3 linked regions of the Astyanax mexicanus genome follow. The protein of the gene in region 2 purifies or fractionates together with the protein of the main gene of each other region. This does not show direct contact. Links are inferred from orthologs where the notes say so. Each region holds a gene or a part of one and is shown on either strand. Other genes may lie near its edges.

Region 1 (6,909 bases), on a different chromosome or scaffold from region 2:
CTTAAATCAACAATTAATTCAATGATTAGGTACACTATACTGACAAAAGTATAGGGACACCTGCTCATTCACTGATTCAACTGAAATCAAGGGTATTAAAGAGAGTTTTTGATTTTGTTGGAGTAACTGTCTCTTCTATCCATAGAAGTTTTTCTACTAGATTTTCAGAGAGATCATATAGTGTAGTGTACCTCATGTCCTTTGCCCTTAAACTTGACATTATCAAATAACGTCCGCAGGGCTGGAAGTCCTCGTTCAGATGTTAGTCTGTATTAGAAAGAGAGGGAGAGACAGACTGGAAAGTACTGCAGATATCAGGCATTAGTTGTTATAGAGACATATAGCGGGGCGTGGCAAAATTTGATATCACAATATACAGCTCTGGGAAAAAATAAAAATAAGAGAGAACTTAAAAATGACGAGTCTGATTTTACCAAATTGAAAGCCTCTGGAATATAATCAAGAGGAAGATGGATGAACGTGTTTTCTTTGCATTATTTGAGGCCTAAAAGCTCTGCAAATAAATGCTCTAAATGACAATATTTTTATTTAAAATTTGGGAGAAATGTTGTCTGTAGTTTATAGAATAAAACAACAATGTTCATTTTACTCAAACATAAACCTGTAAATAGAGAAACTGATTCAGAAACTGAAGTGCTCTCAAATTTTTTCTCAGAGCTGTATATCTGTCAACACGATACCATTCAGATATTGATATGATCACTATATTCACCACTCTATGTGTACATAAAAACAAACTGAAAAGCATTTTTCAATACACATTATGCACCATATTTTGACACACAGACAAAATGCATCAGCAGTGGCAGATTCTGCTACGTTACTCTTAAAATGCTCTTGCATGTATAGTACAGTGATTCTTATTTAATTTTTCTTGCACATCATCCAATTAAACAGGATTTTTACACTCTGTATTAAAATGTACAGTTCAGTCCTTGACATGCTTATTGTCGATGCGATAAGAAAATTTATATCATCATCATATTTATCCAGCTCTAGTAAGACACATGCTTCCTAAAATAATAAACTCAACATAACATTAATACCTCTGAGAGTCTAGTTTAGGTTGAGGCCTCTTGACGGTTCGCCTTTTGGCAACTGGAACTTCAGGTAGCTTCGACACCTCGCCCTCCGCCTCACCTAAACGCACACAGAATACAATCATCGTTTTATCAACTTATCGTAAAAAATACCATCCAACGTCCAACAACCATTTTTCTATTTGCAATATCATACTATAATTGTATAATTATATGATATGAGGCACAACATCGACCCAAAATTATGATAATAATGTTAACCACAGTTATTTCTGGGACAATATATTATGAAAAAGAAAAAAACATAAGCTTTTACCCTCTCCATTGGCAAAAGGGTCTCCTTCCAGGTTTCCCTCTCCAGGAGACAGGGGTGGAGGCAGAGGGGGAAATGACTCATCTTCTATCTGATCGTAGTCAGGGATGTCAAACAAACCATTTTCTGATGGATCCAGCATGGTGTGAAGCCCCTGGAGAGAGATGATAATTCATTAAGATAAAAAAAAAAAAAAAAAGAAATACTGGTGACAGCTGTGTAAATTAATCTCCCCACATGAGTTTGCTATGTATTAGGTTATACTGTCTCTAATAGACAAAAAATAAATTAACGCATACACCGGTTTGTTTCACATTTTTAACAAGTAGAAAGGACAGATAATGGTGTGAAAAGTAGGTTGCAAAAGTAAAAAGAAATCTGAAAAATTGTTTTAAAATGTTTTTTTTTTTCCATTTTAAAAGTATTTGTAGTTCATTAAATCAACACTTAGGGTGTGCTAAATTGTATCATACTCAATCACATTGCAAACATTTTTGAATATGGTGAACGATATTATACCCTAAAATATTGTGCCATATCACTCACCCCTAATTATCAGGGTACTACTTTTTTGCTGTTTTTAGTAAAAGAAAAATTCACACTGTTCTCATTTACCATTATATATCTACTAGACACAGATTATATCGTTCCAGGATAATTTATTTTACTTTAATCTTGGATATATCGAGATTTACAAAGTGCATTACTAGCATCATGATATTCTGGATCATTGACTTCTGTAACAAATCTGATTAAATTCTAATATTTTTTTCGTATGCAATAATAAAATGTAATTTTCATTTTGTTGCAGTAGTGCATTTTTGAAATTATTTTAATTCAATTGTTATCACGAAAATACCATGAAATACTGTGATATTATTTAAGGGCCATATCGTCCACCAGTAGTCGACACCTCTGACTACAGCTAATTAATCCAAATAAAAGTCAAGGTCATCTTCGCTCAGCTCGTATGGGGGCGCTATTTCCACACTTTAATCCTGTTTCTCTGGTTTTATTGCTTTAAATTCTCAAAACATTACAAAAACATTGTAGTTTCTAACACCTGTACTGTGCTGCTATACACTTTACTATACCTTAAATATGGCGCTTACGCATAGTAAACACACGTGACTGACAACGACCGATTCTATTGGTTACAAAAATAGGTAAAAAAAAAAAAATAATAACGTTGAACAGGGAAGCAGTTTGGCGGCAACAAAAGCTAAGCTAGGCTAACTGTGACTCAGTTTCAAGCCTTTTTTCGGAAAATATACACTTTGCCAGCCTACGCACACAGTGTAATTAAGTTAGTATGGGGTATATAAGGTATTCCATGCTGGTTATGCTGTTATTAGCTCTCTATATGACCCAGTTTCCCGCGCTTTTATAGTTTAGTTAGCTTTAGCTTCTGTAAGCAGTGTTATCCAGCGCTGAATAAACCACTTAAACTCCGGATAACCGCGGATATACGGTTCCATACCGAGCTGAAGATCTGACAGGCTGCAGATCAGTAATTCCTGCCGGTTTAGAGCTGAACTGCCGTCCGTTCCGCTGATTTATCCCGGGTTAATTATCAGTACCCCGGTCGTATCGCTCCCTCTGCCCGCGGAGTGCAGCAGCAGCTGCTGTATCTATGGTATCAGTGTTTATAGCGGGTAATGGAGCTGCTGTAGGCGCGTTACCGTCCCCTACTGACCCGGATAAGCTCAGCTCAGCCCTTTCAGTAAATACATTATAATATAAATAAATGTATAATATATTATATCTTTATTTCTACCCCTTATAACCCAGGACAAATGAAAAAAAAATCTTTACTTGATTTACGCAATTTTTTCACTAGAATTCAGATTGTGAGGGGCAGATATAAAAAAGTAGAAATTTGGAAAAGCAGATGAAATGCAAGTTTTACATCCACATTTAATTCCATCTGTTTTATAAAATAGATAACCAACGCCAAAGATAGATGACAATTAATTTGTTCTTTACTATAATAAATAGTTTTCAAAGTTTTTCATTTCTGCCCCTCACAATCTGAATTTCAGGAAAAATGAAAAAAAAAAAAAAGAAAAAAAGGCTGTATTGTACCATCAGATTTTTTGTCACAACATCCCTCAGAAAATTAGAAAATATTTTTTCCCCCAGAATTTAGATTATAAGGGTCATAAAAAATAGATTACTGAATTGCAATTAGAATTTCAGGAAAGAAAATCTAGATTTTTTTCAGGGACAACGGATGAAAAATAGCCTTTAGGCTAATTCTGGTGCATTTACAGTAATGTTAATTAATGTACACTGTCCCTGTTAAATAAACTATTAAAATAAAATAAAACATTTACACAATATATTTTTTTCCAGGAATTCAGATTTTGAGAGTCAGAAATGAAAAAAAAGAAGAAAAAAAAGATGAAAATTCATTCTTTCTTTTCTATAATACATTTAAATTTAAAAATAAATAATGATTTTTTAACACAATTTCAGGAGAAATTAACCGTTTCTTTTTCTTTCTTTTTTTTTTTTTTGCATTTTGTATTGAGTATTGCTCAAGAGCTGCGGCTGCTCTGCTCCTCACCATGTTAACAATGGACATGGCGCCACCTAGCGCCTGTTACTGGGCTAAGTATCATCAAATAAAATTATATACTTTCTTATCTTAATTCTAAGAGCTCTTACTCTGCAGCAACTAACATCTACAAGTTCTCTTTAGTTTATTTTTAAAATATGTAGATAAAGACAATGAAAATACACAGGGTTATTAAACCTTTATTTAATATTTACTGTAGATGATACATGTCTTTATTATTAACTGAGCATTACTTTCAGTATCTTATTTCACAGAATCGCTCTGTTTAATCCCCACTGTACTTAAGAAACAGTCATGGCCAAAGGTGTTGGCACCCCTGAATTGTTTCTAGAAAATTAAGTAATTCTCCCATAAAAATTGCAATCACACAATGTTATGTTTTACACATGTTTATTTGTTACTTTGTGTGTATTGGAGCAACACAAAAGAAACGGAGAACAAAAAGGTAAAAATTGGGTCTTCCAGCAAGACAATGACCCCAAAACTTAGTTTAAAAAGTGACTAGCAATAAGTCCAGATATAAATCCAATTGAACAGCTTTGGAGAGATCCTAAAATTTATGTTGGGAGAAGAAAGCATTCAAATATAAGAGACCTGGAGCAGGTGAAAGAAACTTGTTGATGGTTATAGGAAGCCTCTAAACCATCCAAATGGATAATTTTGTCCAACTAATTTATGGAGTTTTGCATTAAATTATAGCAATTTTTGACCTTTTCTCTCATTTTTCTTGTGTGTTGATTCAATACACACAAAGGAAATAAACATGTATAAAACCAAACATGTGTAATTGCAATAATTTTCTATGAGAAATATTTTATTTTGTGGAAAAATTTCAGCAATTTTCAGCCATGACTGTATATTACAAAAAAACATACATTAAAGCTATGAAAATATGCTTTTTAAAAAAGATATTTCATATTTTCATATATTCATCCACCCATTTATCACCTCATATCAAACACCAAACCTCTAGCTATCCACTGAGGAATTTGCGTGTATGCAGATATAATCCAACAGGACGTTTTCCAGGGAACCGGTTTGCTCACAGCAGCTTCAGAACCAGAATCTTGCGTATCTTCAGCATCTTCAGCAGGTAGAGTTAGTCTCACAGAGAGCACAGGTGAGGAGGAATGGACTGAACAGACTGGAGAAAGGAGCGGGAAGGGTCAGGTAGGGTCAGAACGAGGCCTACAGGCGACCTCTCAGCAGGAACATGAGGAAAATAGCACAGATGAGAATACACAGGGTGCACACAGTGGGAACCACGATCTCCGTCACCATCTCCATGTGGCTGGTGAGAGGATCTAAAATCATAAAAACAGAATTAAAGTGCAGTTTTAGACTAGGCCTTTCAAAATTACCAGTTATTTTACACATTATAGTGATAAATAAATTTATTGTCATTGTTTAACCATTTTATTCCATTGATATAATGATGCAATGATCATATAAAAGCATTAGAATTCATTTACACATCACTTATGAGAGCAGTAATTTTTAATTATTAAGTGTTATAAAAAAATAAAATATAAAACATATTATAATAATATAATAATACTATTAAATAATAATATTTTAATAAGTTTTAATTTAAGAATCATTTATATAACATATATTTAGCATTTAAGCATTATTAGCACACAAAATATTGCAAAAAATGATGTATTCATTTACATTTTTTTTTATATTTTAAGTCTAATAAAATCAAACAGATTGATGCCTATCAATCAGTTGATTTAAACACAGGTAGATTTAGAGCAATAATAGGGGTGAGAAGATTTAATAATATTTTTTTTATTTTATTTGTATGTAGAGATAAGGGTTATGAAAATCTTAAAATGCAAATATAAAAAGAATAACATAAAAAAGAGCAAAAATGTTGTATGTTATAGTAAAAAGAATAAGAATAATAAAAGTTTTATATATCGTTTGTATAACATTTATTTAACATTTTAGCATTATATTTAGCACAAACCTATTTTAGGAATTATAAGAACTAAACTTAAATTAATGTATTAATTAAAAAAAACAATTAGAAAGCCAAAAATGTTTTAAATTCATCCAATTGATGTTTATTTATGAAAATGCAGGTAGATTTAGACCAATAATCTGGTTAAAAAGGTGGAAAATTCTGTTTAAAGCTGGAAAATTCACATTCAGAATATGTGTCAGTGTAAAATCAATGGAAAATAGATTTTAAAGTTTTTTTTCACAATGCAAAAAGACATGTGGTCGCTCTAAAAAAACTGTAGTCCCTAGTACCTAAACTTCATCATGCACTGGCCAAACCTTTGGCATTTCTGCATGTTCCTTGGATTTTCTTCTAGCTGGAGGGGCAAACAAAAGAAAATTCCCGTTAGAGATGTTGCCCCTTTTTATGTAATATTCCACCCCCAAAAAAGCCATCCTATTTGCCAGATTTCCCCTCATTTTAACAAGCTACAGATATTCACAGATAAGTGATTTCTGTGTTTATGCACCAGTTTAAACTCTATACTAACAGGTTTTCTTGTATTTGCCCCATTTAGACCACAGTTAAGCTCATAACGGTGTGTTAAAGCTGAAAGCTCAGGGATACTGACCTGCTGCTAAAAGCTGATTACTGGAGGTACAGGTTTCTGTCGCCTTCCTTCTCCAGCTCTCAATCTGTAGAGGATACACACCATTAACACCATTAACACCATTAACAAGTAGCTACAAAATCTACAAAAAAACACATATGTTATACTGTAAAAAAGTAATAAAAATTATATCATTGCTGTCCAATGAAAAACAAGTATCTCCAAAACAGCAACTTTACAGGAGAGAGATAAAACCTTCGTAAATTTCAATGGAAGTGTAATTTTCAATGTAAAAACAGATTATTTCATTTTGAAGAAATTCTATTGGTCCATTTATCAAGAAATTGTCACATAGTATAAAGGACAGTTGGTTTGTTGAAATAATGTAGTAAT
Region 2 (7,337 bases):
AAACATATGGCATGTCAATCATCATTTCAGTTTTACATTGTTTAAAAAAAGTGTGGCGTGTTTAAAGAATAAATACTTAAAGACTGAACTGTGTGAGTGCTCTTCTGTAACACTGCTGCCAGTCTGCTGTAAACCAGAAGCCGGCAGAGCGATGAGGAAGCTGTGTAACTCAGAGTTATGCAACTGTGACACTTACCCATAATGCTTCTAGTTAACCTACTTTCACTGGAGGAGGGGAGGGGGGTGTTGCTTAGCCCTGTCTATACAACACACCTACTCACCTCAGACACATTTACCAGTAGTAATACCATGTAAACATAGACTACATAGTATATTGCAGCCTAGAGATTCTGACCTCTGAATAGAAAAAATGTAAACAAACATATACACATATTCCATACCGGTGTCAGGAAACAAAAAATATTAAGGTATGGGTCTTATGTGATATGATTATGTTTATGACTTATGTTCCTTAATACAATTGTCTACTAAAACATACAGCTTTGACAATTTGATTTTAATTCATTTTATTTTTAGCTATATTTTTGTATATGATTTGATGATAATATAGTAAAATATAATTGAGACTTTTACCAGATTGTAACACAAGTCAATGTTTTCACATGTTATGATACTAATAATGCACTCCTTATATCCATGTTTAAAGTAAAACACATAATACTGAACAGATATTATCTGTCTCTAATAGATATTAAAAATAAAACTGTGAATTTTGCTTTTGGTACAAACAGTAAAAAACGGTGGCCCACATGGCCCTAAAATAATCTAATAAATAATATCAATATTTCAGGGCATTTTTGCAAAAAAATATTAAGACATTTTTTTTTTACAAATGGCAATATTTTACATAATTTATAAGATACAATATGGCACACCCCTAATATGTGGTATATAATACACTGCATGATGACCATCAGTTATTTGCTTAATATTAATTTAATTATCTGTTTAAAAATGAGGCCAGAGAATATCACCAATATCTTCTAAGTTGAGCTGAAATTTTAAACAAACAATTAACTGATTAATGAAGCAATTATTGAGCATTTTGTGATTCTACCTCAAAAGCTGTGGGACGTGATAGTGATTATATTTGCTGAAAATAATAATAATAATAATAATAATAATAATAATAATAATAATAATAAGAGGAAGATTACACAGAACAGTAGGTTGTCTTTTCCAAACAAACTTAATTAACGTTAGTGGCTAGTTCAAAATATTCACATATGAATATGTGGTCTTAATCTAACATTTATCACCCAGTTACACCGGTCAGCTTTACTTTATTCATTCATTTAAAGCTTGGAACATAACAAAACCACTAATATACAGACATTATACTCCTCCAAAACTTTTTTTTAAAGAACACAAACAGACATTCAGCTAAAATACAGTGTCCTTTTCCTAGCCTTACTAGCTAACTAAGCTAACTAGCTGTGGTTAGCTCGTGAGCTAACCTAAACATATTTAGGCAGCAGGCTAACCGTGAGTTAACTAACTACAGCCTCCAAAACTAAGACAAAAACCCCAAACTTACCAGAGACATCTGGCTTTAAAGTGACAGAAAAATTCTAACAGCCTTTGTCCAACAGTCCTCTCAGTCTAAAACGTTTTACTGAGCCGTTCCAGTGGTTTAAAGGTGGAATATTAAAGTTTCACCACACTACTCCTCCATGGCTGCAGCCCCGGCTTTCCCTCTACAGCCTCATCTCGCGCGCAAATTTTACATTCGCACTCGTTCACAGAATCGATTCATTTGAACAGTCTAACTGATTCATAAATCTGAAGCCTTCATGTTGCTTTATGAATAATACTATAATCATTGAAAATAAAAATTCAATTGGCAATAAAAACGAATATACAAATAATAATAATAATAATAATAATAATCAAAATATTTTACATTTATGTTAAAATAGCAGCCTCGTTTAATCAATTCAATGTATTTTATAAACTGTTTATATACGTTTATATATCTGTTTTGCATGATGTGTCGCACCAAAATAGAATATGAGCATTCCACCTTAAACAGTAAGCGTTACCAGAAACGTTATTTCTAATGAATGAGACTTTGGAGTTACCTTTAATACAGCGTGAACTATTTAAGGTGGAACGTTTAGAGCTGAAAGAAAAGTTGTCAAACAGTAAGACAATTTTATGCTATATTATTATTTTTACTGGACATAAAATAGATTAAAAACTGAATCAACTATGTATTATTGAATGGAGCGATAAACGATTCAGGGCTGAATCAGTGAACTGTTGAATCACTGAATCAGTTCTGTAATGTGAATCAGTCTTTCGTCACTGCCGCGAGTGTCGTCTTTCTTAAAGGTATCGTGACACATTTTCACTGTTAATAAAAAGAGCAAAAAAGTCTGGAGGGCAGGTTTATCCAAGTTATTTCTGATTTATTCATACATAAATAACATGCATTATATCTCTACTGTTGGAGTAGCGCCATTAAAAATAAACATAAATTAAATACATTATTTTTGCTATGCAGGCTATAGTGCAATGGATGATTATACATTTAAAGGATGATTATTAAATAATATTACAGTACACTACACAACGTAGTTTCATATATCAAAGCTGTATTAGCCTATTTTAGCCAAAGCTGACAGTTGACAACTTTTTATCGACCCTCCCTCAGACAGTAAGCACAGACTATTAATATGGATCAATACCACAAATATAGCTCACCTATAATAGCTAACAGTATGACACCTACCTTAATAATATACGGTTCCTGTTGTCAATCAGAAACTCCTTCCCAGTTTCCAGTAAGGGATCATAGAAGAGTATTACAGTAAACTGAAGGATAACAGACAGTCTAACCAGGATTCACACCATTCCAGAAACTGGGATTTCATAGGAACACAGTTTAAAAGTTAATTAAGCGCGATTCCGTAAACAATTTACACACCGTGTGCTTTAACTAGTCTCTATTAAACGCGCTGATTTCACTACAGACAGAATGAGGAGATCTGGAAGAGTTATAGTGGAGTTATTATTAAAGCGCTCCCCCTCTGACATGGATAATGGTTTAATCCAGTCACATTCAGCACTGCGTGACAGCGGCCGCTAGCTGTAACATGACGTCATTACCAATTTCGCATCCCAAACATCCTCGCTAGGACCTAGGCTGAAAATTATCCTCTTTAATTATTTAAGAGAGGAAGTTAATTTATTATTCATTTTTAGTACTTTAAATAAACAATACCAGACAAAATTTTGGACACACCTTACATTCTGTGTTTTTTTTAATTATTTTTAAGTGTTCTACATTGTAGATTAATACTAAAGTCATCCAAACATGGGATTATTTAGTAAACTAAACACTGTAAAACAAACCAGAACATATGTTATTTTTTACACACTTTAAAGTAGCACCTCCTGTTTACATGATAGTTTTCTCAGTTGTAAAGTTGTGAAGAGGTAGAGTTGATATACAGTGAATAGCTCTATTTGAGTAATGTACTAATCCATATTATAGCAAGAACTGCTCAACCAAGTAAAGAAAATAAAATACTTTGAAATAAATGAAATAAAGGTCAGGCAATCCAAAACATTTAAAGAATTTTGAAAGCTGCAGTCACAAAGACCATCAAAAATATTATGATGAAATTGGCACTTATCAGGACCACTCAGGAAAGGGAGAGCAAGAGTTACATGTGTTACGCAGGATAAGTTAATCAAAGTTAACAGCCTCAGAAACCACAAGTTAACAGCACCCCAGATTAGAGCTTAAATGCTTCAGTATTTTGGTTTGTTTAAGTTTATACATGATTTCTTATGTGCTCTGACTATAAATATTACTGTATAATGTAGGGAAAAATAATAAATAAACACATTAAATGAGAAGGTCAAATGTGATCAAATGTATGTGTGTTACAACATTAGCGCCATAAATATGGATTTAATATTAAAACCATTCTCTTTATGTATCTCTGCTTATATATACCTTTTCTACAGCTCTTATCTTTGCATTGCTTGGTGGTTGGTATTGCGTTGTTCAATATTTGCTAGGATGATGCTATGGTATCCCAGATTATTAATATGGTATTGCACAGGAGATAAAACAATGTTGCCAGATTGTTGCTACATGGGTGCTACAGTATTGCTTGGTGGTAAGAGTGTGTTCAGGACCATCTTTTTGGTAGCAGTCATTAATTAGTAAAGCTGTTTAGTGTAGTGTAGTTTAGTGTAGTGTTTCCGTGTGGGTGTATTTAGACAGCTATTTGTGTCCAAAGCTGCTCTGCAGTAAATCTTTTTAGTATCTATTTATACTTAATCTATAGCTCTACAGATAGCAGAGCGACAGAGACAATGGTACACCTGTGAATTTCTGTGTATATTTTTTTACTTTATTCCTAGGTACTAATACCAATAATACATCATTAGCAAAATGTCTCATACTCATTATAATATAGTAATTAAAAACCTTATTTATACTATTGTTTTTAAACTAAAATTAGACCCAGAATATTTTTAGCCTAGGCTGCTTTTATAAGACAAGCATTCTGTATAAAAATATAAAAAAAAAAAATTGACAGCATTTTCTTAGTAATGTGCATGGTGTACTGAAATGTGTGCGATTATTGAAATTTAGGACAGTCTCTAAATTGTTTCATAACACCATTCAGATGCAGCTGTAACAAAACTAACCATAAAATAAAAAGTATTTGATATGAAGAAATAGCATCACTATTAACACATTTTGTGTACCTTTTACAAATATGCTGTTATTTTGCTAATACACTATTGTCAAACATTGACAATATGCAAGAATATTCATAAATGAATGTAAAAAAAATTGTTAATTTTTTGACAGAATATGACTACCTTTTGCATACGTTTTTGGAATTTTTAAGCACAATGTTAGAAGCCTAAATGCACAGAGCTATTCCTCAACCACATGGGGGCAGAAAAGCCTTTTTTACTCTGAGTACAATCCCTGTGACTGGGATCCAAAACATCACATCTCCCATTGTAAAATCATGCTGTGGGTAATTGTCTGAGAGAAGTTGTCTCTGCTGTAGTTATTTCTGTAAATGAGCGTGAGTAATTAGTGAGCATGTTTTCATACTGCCAACTCAACTGCACCTCATCTTCTCCCACTCGGCCTAAACATCTCTCAGTGCTGAAGCTGCTGGGGTAAATTGGAGATGGTTGGAGATGAATTGTAAGGAAGAGTAGTGCAGTAAGTGCAGTGAGTGGATCAGCTAAAGTGCAGTTGCTAAATGTAATCAAATTCTCCCAGCCATGCTGTAAAATCTTGTAGAAATCCTACAGTTAATTCATTTACACCTTTTCATTTCATGTGTCTTGAGTATTAGAATTGTGCCTGAATTTGGTCAAACCACGTACAAATGCAAGTATAAACACACCAATAATCATTTGAGCCACATGTCATATTAGTGTGATCGCATCTGTCTCTCCAAGATGCATTCCACAACCAAAACTCCTCCCAGTACAACAAAACACCAGTAATAATTGCAACAAAACTAGCTAATCTGCATATTTCATCCAAACCAGCAACTACATTTCAGTCTGATTAACTGCAGTTTAGTTAGTTTACTAAGTGGTTAAAATATCATCAGGATATAATCAAGAAACTGGATTTGTTTTATTCAGTTTCTCTACAAATAAAAGCAGGATAAACTCTTTTTAAAACCTGTGACTATAAACAAAACAATGAATACACAGGTGTTCCAATACTTTGGTCCATGTATTTTTCTAAAAATGTACAGTTTTTTTTGTCCTACCAGCTTTTTGTGAGTGTATGAATGAACCAGGTCAGATTAGGTACTAGTGTGTACTATATGTATTTAAATGAGATGGATTTAAGTGTTGATTGAACCCAGCAGATCTAGATAAATAAATGAACAAAAGTGACTGTCTCTTCTTTTCAGAGAAGTCGTTCTACTAGATTTTGGAGCAGCATCGCTGTGAGGATTTCAGGAACAAGCGTTTAGAAAAACACTATACCAAAAGTCATAGGACAATTTTCTTGCCCAGTCATTTTTGAACTGTCCCATAGAAGATAAAAACACTACACTGAAGTGCAGGAAATGCATGGATGTGGAATCTGGAGTTCATAAGGACAATTCCAGCCAGACACTGCAGGACATGACAATTACCTCCCATTCCAAAATAGAATATCCCATCCATGCATACTCTATATCAGGCCTCGCTCCAACTCCCATAATTCGCGTCAACTTGAACACTGGACAGTGTTCAACAATACATCCTCACTCATAAGATAACACCTCAACATTTTATTATTTTTTAAATAATTTTTACAATTTACATACTGCAGTCTGATGGCTTTTGGCAGGTCAGTGTTTTGATTTTATCTGACAGAAGCCCGTCCAAGACCTTTAACTAAAGCCTTAAACTCCACCGCCCGCCCCACCAACTAGCCTCTATTCTCACCTGTAATATTCATCTAATGATGGACTGATGTTGAGGCCCTGGCTTTATCATGAGAAAAGAAGAGCTGAAATAATGACCATAATAACTTTAATATCCCACTTGACATTTGAGAAAAAAATCATTTTTTCAATAACCAAGGCTCTTGAAGCTGCCCCACGGTGGCGATTAAATACCTTCATATGCTCCTACTTGTATTCTCTCTGCAGCTTTATTGTTCTCACACTTTTGGATGGAAAAATAACTCTGTGATAGCGAGAAGCCTACAATCAGTCATGATGATCCAACATCCTGGTATCAACTAACATTCCTTTCACTGAATACAATCAAATGCTCACAGAAAAGCTGCAAAATTCTGTAAAAAGACTTAGAGGAGGTGGTCTGAGACAGATTTTAAAGGGACACCATTCCAATTCCTTAAACCACTTCAGAATATGGTCTGAGACGCATTTAAAACAGACACAAATCCAATCGCTCAAACCAATTCAGAGAATAATATGAGATGCATTTAAAATGAACACATATCTAATTTCTTAAACCACTTCAGGAGGTTGTCTGAGACCCATTTTAAACAGGCAAAAATATGACCCCTCAAACCACCTCAGGAGATGTTGTGAAACGCATTTAAAACAGTCACATATCAGATCACTAAAACCACCAACTAAATTATATATATAGATATAACCAATTTTGATAAACTACATTAACTCTTTGAATCCTAGGTTTGGATTTCAGACTAAACAATGAGTATCTGTCACCCAATAACTGAATGGGTGATAACACTCATATACTAGTGTCTGTCTCACGAAGCTGCCTCATGGTGGCAGTTTGGTGCCCTCGTATCCTTGAATTCTCTCTGCAGCTTTATTGTTCTCTCT
Region 3 (6,999 bases), on a different chromosome or scaffold from region 2:
AGAAATGGTCAATGCCCTTTGGCTCCGGCATGTGGTATGGTAGCCCTATAGTAGATTCTGAAAACAAAGAGATACCACAAGATTAGTAAGAGCTTAAAAAGAACCTCAGTACCCAAATCACATGTTAAATTACAGTTTAGAAAAACAAAAAGCCCATCAAATGCTTCTGTACAGTTATATAATTCTAATAAGTTTCATATCTTTAATAGTGGCTAATTTAATTGTCTAAACCATCAGTCCAAGCATATGCATGTGACTAAAAAGCGATTAAAATGGGAATGATTCACCCACTTATCAGCTATTTACTAACCTCTCACAAGCCGCTGGCTGTCACTGTGGAGCTGTTTCATGGCCTCCTTACTTGCTCTTGCTGCTTTTCTCTCCTGAGAACATTATCCAAATCAATTAGCTTCACAAATTAACAGTGGAGAAGGGGAAGTTAAAAAAGAAAGACAAATAAGCGCCTTATACCTTACGCGTCGAGCAGTCTTCTTCATTGACTTCATCATCTTCCATGTCATGAGAATGGAGCTGCAGGTAGGTTAAACAAATAACTGTCATTTTAAAGTGAATTTGGGACAATCACTGTACTAAACACAGTACAGTTTTTGAGTAGCAGCCTTTAAGAATCTAATGATAATCATACATTTTGTTTACAATCACAAATATTGTGTACAAATATTGTGATATTTATTCTATATCGTACACCCTAACTGGTGAATTCAAATTTCCTTATATGCCCACTTCTCTTCAAATTCCCTGCAAACATTACTACTTAACATAAAAGCAGGTTCTAGATCAGAACTGATACCCTTCAGGAAAGTACCCTGTTCCCACCTTGTGCCTGGCCTTCTGCTTCACAGCATCTCTAATTGCATCTAGAGACTCTGCTTCCTCCATCTCCCCATCAGCTGTGTCATCTTCCAGCTGAGCATCAAATAGATCATTATCACCAAGTAGGCAGCCGCTATCATTGAGAGCCTTGCCCGAAGAGGTCGCCTGAAAATAGAGAATTAATTATGGTCAAAAATGGACTACATATTTTGATACTTAATTCAGAAATGATTAAATTTAACTTACTTCAACAGCGCCCGACTTCTCTTTCAAACGCTTCACTAGAGAACCTCTGTTTTTCTCCTTTTCCTTGCGTCTCTGTGACTTCCCCCTCTTTTTCTTCTCTTCCTTAGGTTCATCTTTCTCTGGCTCGCTCTCATCACTGTCCATGGAAATACGGGATATCCTTTTCCCCCGGCTTTTTTTGACTCGATCACCCTCTGTGGTCTCCTCCTCACCAGATTCTGAAAGAACGAGAGCTTCTGCCATCCCTGTCACCTCCTCCTCCTTTTCACTGTCACTGTCTTCAAGGACCTTTCGAGAACGAGCCTTCCGGTTGACAGCAATGTCTTCATCAGAATCTGGAGCACAAAATAGTAAAATAAGTCTTTATAATACAATGACAGACTGAAAATAGCCATGTCCTAGCTTTATAAAAGCCTGTAAATAATACTGGCAAAACTAGAGAACACAAAATGTGCATCATAACATAGACTTCCTGTTTCAGAAAGCAAATTTTAAATTACTTGCACACAAATACTTTTAGTACTTTTAGATTACCTCCTTGGGCCTCAGTGGCAGTGTTCTTTTCAGTCACAGCATCCTCCATTGGTGAACCTACTCCACTGTCTGAGTCACTGTCAGCCTTGGGGCTCTCTACAGGGAGATCCACGGGCTGTAGAGCAAACATTGAAGTCAGTGTTAAAAAGATATTTATGTTACTTTTTAAATGTAAAAATTAGGCTGGCAGATAATAAACACAAAGGTGTCTGGTCGATTGGCCAAAAAGACAAGAGAGATAGTGATAAGGTTGGTGAAAAATCCTTACAGTTACACATTTATAGTAAATAAGCCTGATTAATGGTACTGGAGATTGTTTTTTAACAACAGTAATCATACTGTACTAAAGATCATTCCACCGTTTTTACCATGTACATTCATTCAGGTTGTACATGACTGAATCTTTACAATGCAGACACTTTCTGTTATATACTGTTTTATACTACTTTGTAGCTAGCTTACACAATATTTCCTGTATTTTTCTTTTTCTTATATAGATTTTGACCGTACACTTCTTATCTAAAGATTGCATCTGCTAATCTGCTGGTTACCAATTTTGTATCATCTGGGATTAATAAACTGATCTATTTATTAAGGTCAATCATGTGAAGAAATGAACTATTATTTAAACATAACACTGCAGAACAACTACAAATTGCCATCCACTTTTTCTACTTTACCATTAAATCAATAGTATAAGATAGATACTTGTCTTTATTTGTTTTGCATTCTGGGAGCTGAATGGTTAACCTTCATGTAGCCCACAAGCACCTTGTACACACGTAAACCCCTAGTTATAGCTAACCGAGATTAACTGACCTTCAGCTATAGTACAAACAGGAGCAGCATTTGTGAATTAATGTACAATAAACTGACAAACAATTTAATTAATCCAAAATATAGCTAGCAAACAAGCTAACAAAGAGATTTAACCAGCCTTTAGCGAGCGAGCTAACAAAATAGCTAACCTAGCTAACTTGCTACCCACCAAGCCAAGTCAAATAGCTAGGTTACCTAGCTAGCTGGCTAACCTACGTGTGATTAATGTGACAACAGTTAGCAACCTAACTATATGCGTTTCCAAAGTTAAAAAGCACAAAATTTCTACATAATAACCTACATATTTAACATAGCTCTGATATACATCTGCCCGTCCCCGGCTGCGTGATAGTTATAGTTACCCGTTCGGCGGAAAGCAGGCTCATCTTTTGTCCGCTTCTTTTATTCGGTGTTAAAACTCATCAAAACAGCAGAAACCGTCTCCAGCAGCGGCTAAAAACAGCAGTTAACCCGACAGCGACTAATTCGCGCGATATCTACCCGAGAACTTTAAATAATAGATCAGTAAAGCGCGAAACCGGAGCTCCTCTCCCGCCGGATCCTCCAAACCGAATACAATTTCAACCTTTCGCGCGCAGCACAGCCGTGCCTCTCCTGCTCCCGTCCGTCAACGCTGCCGAGCTCTCTGATTGGTCAACCGGATCCCCAGCGTGCTAAATTCGCGCTGATTGGGCAGATCTTTAAAATAGGAAGCGCGCGTTGTTTTCAATAGCTCATTGTGTTGTTTTGCTGCTGTATAAAAATAAATCTTTTTACTGGTAAAACTAAACTTTAAAACCTCTGCAATAGGATTTCCTAATAGAAAAAGTGCTAATTTCAGATACCAAAGGTGAATTATTTTACTAGTAATATTAATAATAATATCAGATGTACAGATAATGACTAATGTTACTAAAAGTATATATACATATACATATATATATATATATATATATATATATATATATATATATATATATATATATATGTATATATACATATATATATATATGTATATATATATATATATATGTATATATATATATATATATACATATATATATATATACATATATATATATATACACACACACACTGTTTTAATGTGATTTTCAAAATGGGATATTCGAGATTGTACATATTTACATTATAAGCTGCCAGAGGGAATCACAGTAGGCAGGTTTGTGCTTCTGTCAGAAATGTGTAAAGAACTCTTTTCCATGGCAGTGATTTTCATATTTTACACTTTTGCGTAACTGAAATACAAGGAGGTTATTTATGCAATGTGTTTAAAAAAACCTGCATGTAAGGGGGGAGGTGTATTGGCAAAAAAAGCTGCCTGTCCACAAATAATAAAAAACTGAAGTTGTTATGCAAGAACATATGACATAATATTTTTACAAGATCACTCAGCCCTACTACATATCTATAAAAATCATTCTGACAGTCCTATTTGACTAGTTATTTTACTAGCGATACCTTACCAAAAACATTTTGGAGATCTTAAACTTACTACAAATATCTTCATTGCATATAAATAAATTAGCACTTGCAATAGTTACAATTTAGACTGTATTGGTAAAAAATACATAAGGATGTCTTCCTGGCAATGTGACTGGTCAAATTACATATTTGTCATCTTAGCAATACCACTGAATCAAGATAACTTTACAGATCAGTATATCTCATTTTAACAATAAACATATCGTAAAACAACAGAAATTAGAAATTCTACTTGGGGGGAATGCATAACATTGATCTACAGTAAAAACGTAAGTTAAGGTGCTATCAGCTTTTAAGCTAAAACAGCTTAGCCTATTCACGCATTAAAGGTTTCTAAACTGACAATTTCTTTTTTTAAAATCTAATGAACACAGACTTTTAAAAATTTAAATACTTAACAAATATTTTCAATTCATTACAAAAACTGTTTGTACATTAACTAGTTGTTAGCCTAGTCTTATCCACACTCAACACATGTTAAGTGCATACCACTGATGTTTCTTACTGGATGAAGACATTGCTCACCCCTGTTTTTCGGTTTGTTGCAAAGGACAAACAAAGACATCTGCCCAGTCATAAGTCAAATTAAACGCTTACAAGCCGGTAATTAAGTCAGTATGGAAAAAAGACTGAGGCACTTTCCATCAAATATCAAATAAGTTTTACAATCTTCATTGCTGGCTTTGAACAGGTAAGGAATTGCGCCCCACAACTAGTGTTCCACAGATTTTATACTTACATTTTCATTTACAGCATTTGGTTGCTGCTCTTATACTGAGTAACTTACATTTACAGTCGTAAGAGAATGTATTGTTGGGAGTCTTGCCCAAGAACTCCTATTGGCGTGGCGTGGTGTCCACTACACTTCACTCCACCAACCTCCTCTGTTTATTTGCAGCAGATGTGTGTAAATTCCTAGCTACAATATATGCTGCAACATTACCTTATAGACAATAGCTTTTTTCCTGTGTAAACTGTGTGGGGTCGGTCCACTTGAATCCTCCCTTTTCAAGCTGTAACTTATTAAAACTGCAGCCGATGGCTTTCCTGGAACGCCAATACTCACCAGTAGCGCGCATGCGCGTTAAGTTAACTGCTTGTGGACTTATTATTAGAAGTGTAGCGTGATAAGGTGAACTGCACTCTACCATACCATTCGCTTTATGCTACAGTTAATTAATACGTAACTAGAGTAATCAGCTATTATATATGCTGCAATATTAAGTTACCTTAATTGGTTACCTAAATCTTTTTTTTGTGTAAATATGTGGTCTGTCCGCCTAAGTCCTTCCCTCAGAGCCATTAACGAGCCATTAGGCATTTCGTTCCTCCTCTAATCTCTGGTGCAGTCAAACTACAGTGGCATTTACTCATCTAAACGTGTGAATGGGTATGCACATATGGGTACATGTCATTTGCATCTTGCACTTTTGCTGTGTAGATTGTTAATTGGACGATTGCGCCATCTTCTGCTGCACTGCTCTACCAAAGTTTTCATTATACCCTTTGTATATCTAGCTATCTTCTCTCCTGTGTGTTCCCTGAGCATATTTATTGCATTGTGTTGTTTCAAGCTACTGTATGCCTACATTTCCTTCTGGATGGATAAAGTATATATCTATTTGTTTCTACCTGTACATTATTCAACCTGCAGCTTTATGGAGCAAGGGCGTTTATCTTATTGTCTTGGATAAGTGATATGGTTCCCTCTGTTAAGACCTAGCATAATGTTGTTTCATATAGAATAATATAGAATTGTATTATATATTTATTAACACATGTATTTAACCAAATATGGTCACCCTATCTTTATCTTGTCAATAATTGGGATTGCCTGAAGATAAATCCACTATGGGATTATTTTACAGATTTTTATTTACTATAATTATCAGTAGTGTATCATCTGTAATATGTTGTGTTTAATATCACTTTTGTATGTTGATAGTTTGTTTGATTTTGTAAGTAAGTTTAAAAATGTATTTAAAATATATTTCCAAAGAAAAAAACTACAGCTGGGGGCTTGCCTGGAACCGCAGCTTTTACCATTAAGGTTCCAGAAGCGCGCATGCGCGTTAGGACCCTCCCAGCTCCAGCACATGCGCACTTACAAATCCCACGGATCCGCTTTAAATCACACAACGCAGCGAAGCCCGAGTTCGGTCCCCTGACGAGCTATACGCATCCTTCCATTTCTCAAATTAGTCACCTTAAGCTTCGAGATACCGCCCCCAATTTCAGTGTCGGTACGGAGCCGCCAGGCCGGGACAGAGACGGAGAGAGAGCCCTCGGCCATGGAAGCGCTCGGACCCGGTAAGCTGCAAAAGAGTCAAGCCGAGTGACAGCGCAGGCAGGCCGGCGCGCCTCCTCACTGGGGGCCGTGGTCTGCGGCTGCCCGAGTAGGCCTAGCCGAGCAGAGGCGAAAACAAACGGGGCGGTCGGGCCGCGTCCGCTCGCCACAGCTGAACCAGAACCGCTTGTTTGGTTTATATCACAGACAGACAAGATTAACAATGTAGTCAGAGGGTCAACAAGTGTGTGTGTGTGAGGCATCTGGGCAGGTATTTGTTGTGTAGCGTCGCGGCAATGCAGCAGCTTCACACACAAACACATAGACACACAGCGGTGCGGAAGGCAGCAGGACGGCATTGTGCTGCCGAGCGAGGAGGGGGATTTAACCGAAGCAGCTCCTCTTTCTTCCTGGTCGTGTTGTATACGCTGCTGTGTGCTCGTTTGTTTTGTAGCTTAGGTTATTTATGCCTCAAAATGGGTTTTTATCAAATTTTAACCCTACGAAAGAGACCAGGATATTTTTACACGTTTCTACAGTCATTAATTTGAGTCTTGCTGCTCCAAGCACATGGTCTAGTTAGCTAAATATGGTCAGTGGGGGATATACTGTGTTGGACGCCGTGTTGACAGGGCTTTCCGCGCCACTTCCACACTCTGGACAGGGTCCCTCCATGCTGGACATAATGTCGACGCTTGTTTCACAATAACATACATGGTTTCCATAATAGGGGTGGGCGATATGGCCCTAAAACAATGTAATTTCACAATATTTTA

Evidence for each region. Proteins that work in one complex are often made in the same cells at the same time.
Region 1: the proteins of timeless (region 2) and tipin purify together in Homo sapiens (affinity purification with western blotting; 6 studies listed by BioGRID and IntAct, counting the BioPlex papers as one, with this or other methods). This does not show direct contact. The link is inferred for Astyanax mexicanus from reciprocal best matches to the Homo sapiens genes TIMELESS and TIPIN.
Region 3: the proteins of timeless (region 2) and claspin purify together in Homo sapiens (affinity purification with western blotting; 4 studies listed by BioGRID). This does not show direct contact. The link is inferred for Astyanax mexicanus from reciprocal best matches to the Homo sapiens genes TIMELESS and CLSPN.

What each region holds. Positions count from the first base shown.
Region 1 is NC_064430.1:4,940,179-4,947,087, forward strand, and holds the start of tipin (TIMELESS-interacting protein), read right to left. Parts: upstream 3,018-6,909; 5' UTR 2,855-3,017; intron 1,529-2,854; 5' UTR 1,517-1,528; coding exon 1,378-1,516; intron 1,162-1,377; coding exon 1,068-1,161; intron 268-1,067; coding exon 192-267; intron 1-191. Other genes in the region: lctla (lactase-like a), read right to left, coding at 5,144-5,259, 6,538-6,601.
Region 2 is NC_064431.1:13,107,174-13,114,510, reverse strand, and holds the start of timeless (protein timeless homolog), read right to left. Parts: upstream 3,012-7,337; 5' UTR 2,756-3,011; intron 1,735-2,755; exon of another isoform or gene 1,559-1,734; intron 135-1,558; exon of another isoform or gene 90-134; intron 1-89. UniProt on the Homo sapiens protein: Plays an important role in the control of DNA replication, maintenance of replication fork stability, maintenance of genome stability throughout normal DNA replication, DNA repair and in the regulation of the circadian clock.
Region 3 is NC_064410.1:53,519,380-53,526,378, forward strand, and holds the start of claspin, read right to left. Parts: upstream 3,018-6,999; 5' UTR 2,820-3,017; coding exon 2,796-2,819; intron 2,758-2,795; exon of another isoform or gene 2,735-2,757; intron 1,730-2,734; coding exon 1,615-1,729; intron 1,416-1,614; coding exon 1,081-1,415; intron 1,000-1,080; coding exon 838-999; intron 532-837; coding exon 472-531; intron 384-471; coding exon 311-383; intron 58-310; coding exon 1-57. Other genes in the region: ago4 (protein argonaute-4), read left to right, coding at 6,228-6,246.